Linked DNA regions of Cricetulus griseus. The protein of the gene in region 1 binds, or shares a complex with, the protein of each later gene. Links are inferred from orthologs where the notes say so. Each region holds a gene or a part of one and is shown on either strand. Other genes may lie near its edges.

Evidence for each region. The genes of interacting proteins can lie anywhere in the genome.
Region 2: the proteins of Rasip1 (region 1) and Rap1b are in contact, whole or in part, in a crystal structure (PDB 5KHO), measured with the Homo sapiens proteins. The link is inferred for Cricetulus griseus from reciprocal best matches to the Homo sapiens genes RASIP1 and RAP1B. Residues at the interface, in NP_060275.2 of Homo sapiens: Val147, Lys149, Ala156, Ser157, Gly158, Ala159, Asn160, Tyr161, Lys162, Ser163, Val164, Leu165, Glu181, Arg182; in NP_001010942.1 of Homo sapiens: Val24, Gln25, Asp33, Pro34, Thr35, Ile36, Glu37, Asp38, Ser39, Tyr40, Arg41, Glu54, Leu56, Phe64.

The regions. Positions count from the first base shown.
Region 1 is NC_048599.1:154,532,408-154,536,170, reverse strand, and holds part of Rasip1 (ras-interacting protein 1), read right to left. Parts: intron 3,525-3,763; coding exon 3,169-3,524; intron 1,596-3,168; coding exon 942-1,595; intron 1-941. UniProt on the Homo sapiens protein: Required for the proper formation of vascular structures that develop via both vasculogenesis and angiogenesis.
Region 2 is NW_023276806.1:138,528,899-138,533,352, forward strand, and holds the start of Rap1b (ras-related protein Rap-1b), read left to right. Parts: upstream 1-1,637; 5' UTR 1,638-1,780; exon of another isoform or gene 1,781-1,789; intron 1,790-4,454. UniProt on the Homo sapiens protein: GTP-binding protein that possesses intrinsic GTPase activity. Contributes to the polarizing activity of KRIT1 and CDH5 in the establishment and maintenance of correct endothelial cell polarity and vascular lumen.

The sequences.
Region 1 (3,763 bases):
CTTCTAATCCTCGACTCAGCCTCTTGTGTCGATGGAATGACAGGTCTGTGTCACCCAGCAAGGCTCTCCCATTGTAACTGCACAGTCACAAGTAACCTGTTCACTTCATTTCCCTTCTGTTCAAATGGGGTTTCTTCTTACCCCCAAGAAAATTTCTGACCCCTCTGACTCTCATGCAGTGAGATTTTCCCCCTCATTCTGGATAATTCCTTCTGGACACTTCTACAGAGTTGGTCCCACTGACGGACCTTCCTGGTTTGTCGCTGTTGTTACTACTCCAAGCGCCAGGTCCAAAGGGCTGACCAATGCAGTTCCCACAGTGACCTCTCCTGGGTTCTCATCCAATGGCACCTCCCCCACATCCCAGAGTGCTTTCCTCCATGATTCCACAGCTCCAAAGGGGAGACTGAGGCAGAAAGACCTCAAGTTCCAGGCCAGTCTGGGCAACTTAGTGAAACCTTTTCTCAAAATTAAATCTAAAACGAGGGCTGGGGGTGTGGCTCAGTAGTGCAGTGCTTGTCTACAATCCTTCAGTGAGGATCTGAGGACAAGGCTCAGCACTAGGGCACCTGCCCAGAATCCGTCAGTGAGAGACCCAGGAGAGGTCCCAGCAATAGCGCCAGCCTGGATGCCATAGGATCATCCCCAGTACCACTAAAATCTAATATCACAGGTAGTTACTTCCTGAAGCACAGTGATGGAACCCACGGTTTCCCAGAACCCTATGAGCGCCATTAGCTCAGCCCATCGCAAAGCATCGTGGAAAAAGTAGTTTCTTCTTGCTCAAGGGTTGAACAGAGCGCTAGCTGGTTGAAGGAGGAGAGACACTATGGAAAACTTATGGGGGAAGGCAGGAATGACCTGTGGAGCAGGTGCGGGTGGCTGTTGATGGGAAAGAGAGGGGCAGCAGAGAGACTTGTGGGACAAGGGGTCCTGCTCACCCAAACGGCCTCTTTGATGAGCCGGGCCAGACGGCCCAGCAGGCGTGGCAGATGGCCCAGCTCCAGCTCCCTCGCCGAATGCTGTACACACAGCGCAAGCAGAGTGGCAGGCCCGAGCGGGGGCAGGTCTCCTGCGCCCGAAGCTGCAGCGCGCACGATTTCGCCCAGCAGCGCCTCTTCCTCTCGTGGTCTGAACCTCAGCACCGGCTCGCGGCCGTCCAGGTAAGCGGCCAGTGCCTCTCCGCGCTCCTGCAGGCCACGGCCACACAGGCGACAGGAAAAGGCCCAGCCTGGCCCGGGTGGCGCGGCCCCGGGGCGCGAAGGCAGCCAAGGTGGCCGAGCAGGCCCAGAGCCCCCGGCGCGGGGGTCCTTGTACATAAACAAGAAATGCTCTCCCAGGCCCAGCAGGTCTCCAGGGTGCAGCTCCGCCTCGCGCAGTAGAAGGCAGCCATTGTGCGTTACCGGGGCACCCCGGGAAGGGCGCACCATGGCCGGGGGCTCCGGGCCGGCGCGCACTGTGCAGTGTCGCGGCAGTATGTCTGGGGCGTTGAGAAAGGTGTCCACATATGGGGCTGGGGACCCACCGCGGGACGATGAGGGCCCACCTCGGCCGAACACGTGTTGCTCTCGGGTCATCACATACACCACGAAGTCCTAAAGGAAAGTAGGTGTTGCTATGGCGATGCGTGTGTCCAAACAGCATCCTTACCACACTAGACTCTTGCTCCAACCACACTTCCTCTAAGTGATGAAAACCTCAAGGGAGGTTTCCTGGGTTCTCAAAGGACTCTTTGAGCATCCCTTGCACATGAATAACCTCTTCCAAGACACTCTGTGGCTTCATCTTTTGGGGGGTAAAAATTTAGGGGGAGTGGGCAGCAGCGCCACAGGGTTCCCATAGATGTCAAAGGATAACTTGTGAATTAGTGTTCTCCTTCCACCTTGTGGGTTCCGGGGATATAACTCTGGTCTTTAAGTCCACATGGGAGTTAAAAAAGCAGTGGGTGCTTTTACCTGTAGAGCTCTCTCTAGCCCTGGCTCTGCCCTTTAAAAAAGACCCTTCACGGGCTGGAGAGACAGCTTAATACTGGCAGCTCTTCAAAGATTCTCCCTGTCCATTAATAGAAGCTCTCTCCAGAGACTGCCACAGAGATGGTGGGCTCTTCTAGAAATGTCTATATATGCTTCAAAGAGGCACCCTTCTTATTTCATCCTGAATGGAAAGATACATTGCAGACGACTCTGGTCTAAAAGTGGTCTCACCTCCATCTTTAGAAATGGATGCACCATTTGACCCCCTTTATAAAATAAACCTACTGCTCATGTTCTAGTGGCACTCAAATATGTAATACACAGAAACATGGCCTGGATGGCACAGGTATGTCAGGCCAACTACTCAGGAGGCTGGAGCAGGAGGGTCATAAATTCAAAACCAGCTTGGGCAACCATTGAAGCTCCTGTCTCTAAGTTAAAATGGTTCAGCAGTACACTGCCTGCCTGGAACCCACTAGTGAAGGCTTCGGGGCTTTGCTCAGAGCACTTGCCAGCAGGGGCAAGGGCCTGTGTTCAATCCTCAATACTGCAAAAATAAAAATGCATACAGGTGGGGCTGAAGAGATGGCTCAGAGGTTAAGAGCACCAACTGCTCTTCCAGAGGTCCTGAGTTCAATTCCCAGCAACCACATGGTGGCTCATAACCATCTGTAATGAGATCTGGTCTGCAGGGATACATGCAGACAGAATACTGTATACATAATAAATAAGTAAATATTTTTTAAAAATGCACACAGGTTTCAGTGTCTCCTGCTTCCATCAACAAGGGGTCAGATGGTCCCCATGTGAACCTTTATAAATGAATTAGCTGATTTCTCCCATCAAGACAGCTGCATTTCCAGAACAAGGATCTAGGTACCAAAGATTTCTCTGACGTAGGACACAGACTTTCCTTGAAGAAACAGATGTTTGTGAGGGATGTCCTTTTGACAATAGACTGGCCTTTGACCAAGAACATGTTTTCTTTTCCCTCTGAATGAAAGGAAGCATTGCTATCCCTTCAAATGGGACCTTGGTATCCCATTTGACCTCCACCTCAGCTCCTAACAAGCTATTTCCTACTGGGAACTGCCACTATAATGGAAAAGGCCTCAACCCAAGGCATTCTTGGTAGTGTGGTTTGTTGACCAACCATGTCTGGTGTGGCTCTATGACTAGGGGAGATAGGGCTAACCTGAGCATCCTGGTAGCCCTGGAGCAGAAGGAAGTAGGGACGGTTGCTGGGTGCCTGAATGAGGCACTGAGTCAGTTGGTCGAAGTCTCCAGGGTCTGTTGGTACCATCTGGGTGTCAGCTGCCCCAGGAGCCATGCTAAGTGCCTGCTGCCTGCGTTCTTGCTGCCGGCGCCTCCGCCCCTGCAGACTCAGCTCAGACACACTGCGACGCAGGGACAAATTTTCAGATCGCTCTTTGCCCCCGGACCCAGTGGGGGTCCCTGATCCTGATCCTGGACCTGGGCTGGCCAGAGCCGCCCCACCAGATGCAGCCCGAGACCGATTCTTCTGTGTTCGCCAAGATGGGGCATTTGTGCCTACAGAAAAACGAAAATCACAGAGGCTATTCCCTGGCTCTCGACCTCCAACTTGGAGTTGTCTGCTTAGAAATTCATTCTTTTAACAAGCATTCAGGGAGCAACTACTGTGTGTCAGGGACTGGTCTAGGCACCAACAGTGCAAGTGTCCTCAGGACACTGGAAACAGCCACCTTCCTAACAATGTCTCCTAGCAGTTCTTAGGCCCCAGCACACAGTAGCCTCCCTATAGAAGGAGC
Region 2 (4,454 bases), on another chromosome or scaffold:
AGTCTAATTGGTGAGGTTCACTGAAAAACCCTGTTTCAAAATAAATAAATAAATAAATAAATAAAAATAAAGTGGGAAGCAAAGCTTATGTTGACCTCTGGTTTCTCTGTACCCACACTCAAGTGCACAAGCACACACATGAGTGTTGATTATAATGCTTTCTCCTTTTCATTATACTAAAGGGGTGACTACCACACTCGAACACTTGTTAAAAAAGAACTGGGCCATTGAGCTATATCCCTACCTTTTTTTATTATTTTATTTTGAGAAGCTCACAAAACTGTCTAGGTTAGCTTTAATTTAGTCTGTGGCCGCGGCCAGCCTAGGATTTGCGATGAGCCACCTCCTGCTCAACCTGCAGAAAAGGTCATCTCTTACAGACCTGTGTCCTGAGGCTCAGCTACCATTCATTCCTATCCACTCACTTAACCCAGGTTACCTTAGTTGTTACTTCTTTAAAAAGAGTGAAATGACACTCTTCATTTCTCTTCCAGAGTTCATAAACTTCCAGACTAATTTGTGCAGCACCCAGCTAAATTGCTTATATTCCTCCGAGCTTTCCTCTCTTAAGTCTTTTTTTCCCACCAAAACCTTTTCAATAGTTGGCCTTAGTGGTTCACGCCTTTAATCCCAGCACTCCAGAGGTAGAGGCAGGCTTATCTCCTTGAGTTCAAAGGCAATCTGGTCTGCATAGCAAGTTCAGGGCCAGCCAGAACTATATGATGAGGTGAGACCCTGTTTCAAGAACAAAGAACAAGAAACAAACTCTTCAAAACAATGCTCTGATGGGGCTGTTCTCATATTAGAGGTGGTGGTGTGACAATATTCTAATGATCTAAGTGTACGTAAGTTCTTGTGCTCTTTCCGGAATCACATCACAGACTTACACCTATGAGTAATCTATAAAGTCACGAAGGCGCCCCAGGCGTGCACTTCAATGAACCACTTACTTTAATCCTATAAACAGTGTTAATTTAGGCACAGGGTCTAAGCATGCCTGGGAATCATCCATTTGTGAACTGCATCTGGTAGGGCAATTTGGACAGCTCGCCCTGGGCTCAAATACTTGTCAAATCCAAAGAAAGGCCAATTGAAAAATGAAAAAGCTGCTCTGGCCCGGCTCTTTCACTGCGCTCTGGGAGTGGGGACTGCGGCTTTCTCTCGGTTACTTCCCCAGCTACTTTCCCCAGCACAAAGGACCACGCAAACACCGATGACGGTCTGGGGGCGTTGGCGACAGAATTCCAGTGTGCACTCGGAAGCCCGGAGAAAGCTTCAGAGGGTTTCTAAGCCCTGAGCTCCCCGTTATCCGCTGGGGTCGAGAGGGATGCTCTCTGTTGAGGCTGACTCCAGATTCCGTCGGACAGCCAGCAGGCGGAGGCGAAGCTGATCGGAGCACCCGGGGGGCGCAGGCAGGGAGGGAAGGGGGACCAAGGGTAGAGCCAGCCGGCAAGAGGCCGGGCGAGGCCCAAGGCGAGGACCAGCCCGCTGAGGGCCCGCCCCCTCAGCCAAGGCCCCGCCCCTTCCCCGCCCCTTCCCGGGCTGTGCTCCTGCGCGCCCCGCCCGCGGGCGGAAGCTAGAACGAGGCTGAACGCCTGACGTCAAGGCGACACCGCCAAACCTCGCCCAGAGTCAGGCGTGGAAAGCAGCCTGAGCGGCGGCGGCGGCGGCGGCGGCGCGGCGGGCGGGCGGCGGCGGCAAAGACCGCCGTGGCGCCGGGAGCAGCGAGCCGAAGGGAACGCGAGCGACGGCGACGGCGGGACCCGTGACAGCGCGAGAGGTTGGCGGAGTGCGTGCGTGGCTGCGAGGCTGGAGGCGGGGGAGGGGGCCGGGCGAGTGAGCGAGCGAGCGAGCGCCGGCTGGAGGGGAGCGGTGGGGTGCGGCGCCGGGCCGGGCGGGGCAGCCGTAGAGAGCTGGGGGGAGCTCCCGCGGTGGCGATGGTGGCCCGGGCGCGCGGCAGGTGGCCGCGGGGGACGCCCGGCGTCCCCTCGGTTCCCCGGACGAGCTGCCTCGGAGCGGCCGGGGAGGAAGCTCAGCCGCGGCGGGGAGCAGCGCGCTTTGCGGAAGGGGTCAAATGTCTGAAATATGGCGGAGGAAGTGAGCGCCCGAGGAACCCCCACCCGCCGCCCGCGGCCGCTCCGCAGCCTTCCCCCGCCGCGCCCCGCTCCCCGCTCTCCCCGCCGCGGGGTGGGTGGAAGTTAGAGCGGAAACCAGAAAGTTGTCCTTTGCGGACACCCGGGGTTCTTCCCAGCTCCGGCCGGGCGGAGTAGCTTGAGGGGGGGGTGGACCACTCCCCGGCGCCCCGCGGGCTCGAGCCTGACAGCGAAAAAGTTTGCCCGGATCCGGGCTGGCTTGCTTCATTTGTTGCGGGAAGTGGCAGGAGGAAGGCAACGGAGCGAGCCCCACCTAGTCTGGCAGCCGCCACCGTGCAGCGAGAGAGAGAGGAAAAAAAATGTTAAAGGGGCCTTTCCCTTCGTCAGCAAGAGGAAATCTCCTTTTTCTCTTGCAGAGAGAAAAATCCAGGAAGTTTGCCCTCTTCTCCTTATTTCGCCATCTCGATATGTCTGATTCTGAAACTGACTTACCAGCGCCATGAATTCTCTTTGAAACTGCTCCCAGGGAACTGGGCCCTCCGGATTTTCCTTGGGGTGGAGGGGGAAGATGCCTTTCAGGAGAAAGATCTTCCCTTCAGAGTTTGAGCGGATGGGCTTGCTTTCCTTTCGCTTGCCCCCTCCCACCCCTCCAGTACTTTAGAAAGATATTTTGGCCCCGCGACTCCTGACTGGTGTGAATACAAGCACTTCTTTATTACAGTAATAGGAAAAATCACATTTTTACTGAGTTGAAAGTTGACATTACAGTGAAGGCTGAACTTTTAATATTTTAAAATTAATTGAGCCTCGTTGAATGTTTGCTTTGCTGGCAGTGGGTATTAACATATACCGAGTGTTTCTAACTTGTAAATTCTTTTTTTTTTTTTTTTCAGTTTTCTTTTGTATAATTAGAACGTTGTTGAGACTTGCCTAAAAGGAACTTATCTTAACAAGAAGTAAATTTATTTGAACGGAGAAATTCTTTTTATTTAAAGCTAACTTGGATTCTATGTATTAAGTCCTAATAGAGTCATGGGACTTTTAAAGGGCCCGAAAGGCTATTTAAATCATCTGGTCCCACCCTGTCATTTTATGGAGGAGAAAAGTGAGGCCTAGAATAAATAAGATAACCAGTTACCTGAGTCCTCTGACTTGTAAGGCAGTGATCTATCCCGAAGAGACAATCCACAGGAAGAAATGTGACATTTCAATGGTGAATTACTTCTTGCAAAAGATATCAGTCCTATTATTCTCTCCAAGACAGAGTGTCTTAGTTAGCTAAACAATGTGGAATAATCATTTCGGTAGTGTCATCCCCGGATTTTGGCTAGAGGAAGTTAATACTCTGGGGAGGAAATCATTCTAAAGACACAGAATCCCTAATGACTGACTTGTCTGAGCTTATCCATACTTTTAATCTCTGTGGTACATTATAGGCCCTTGTACTTTCTTGTTGACATTCACAGTAGTTTAATAACCTTATCTGTGGAAGCCACAAAGTAAATGGCTGAAGGACATATAGATAGCTATTTGGGTTTTAATGTGCCTGGTATCAGAACAACAGCTGAAGGGCCCAATGCTAAGCCGGCTAATTTTTTAGTGTGTGGTCTGGAGCACGGAAATGATGGCCAAGTTCTTTCCCCTTTTTCTGCCTAACTTATCTCTCTTCCTTTCAGTGGCTTGTATCACTTCCTGACTTGTGTTACAGTTGTGTATTTTTATCTAGTCTACTAAATTGTATGGTCCAAGGCCAAGATCTATTTCTTTTGTATGCCTCTGATGGCTAGTATGTTGCTGATCCACAGATCCTTGATGGAAGTTAAGTGCAGTTAAATGAAAACAGGAGGGTTGGAATTCTGTTGTATTCTTAGTTACTAGTACTTCACCTGGGCACTAGTGATATTTGGGACTTAAGTGTAGAGATGAATGGAAAATTCAGAGAAACTAAAGAAAACTGTAACTTTTTAAAAAGAATTACACATTTTCTTTGGGCTCACTCACTTTACAAATTGATCATTTTATCATTGGTTATTTTATAATGATTCCAGTATTTTCTTCGAACTATACAGAGAAAGTGAGTCTTCCCACCAGAGATCCTGTAGAGGCTATCAAGTTGAAATACAAAATCAAAATCTTTTTTTTTTTTTTTTTTTTTTTTAAGTGATGCTGGGCATGGTATTTTGCAACTGTAATCCCAGCAGTTAAGAGATCGAGGCAGGAAGATTTCGGGCTAGCCTGAACTAATGAAATGCTGTCTCTAAGTAAATACATAAATAACTTGAACTATGTTTATGAAGATCTTTTAAAGACTGAATGCCTATGTACAAATTGATAGCATGTAACTGACTACATACTGTTTTA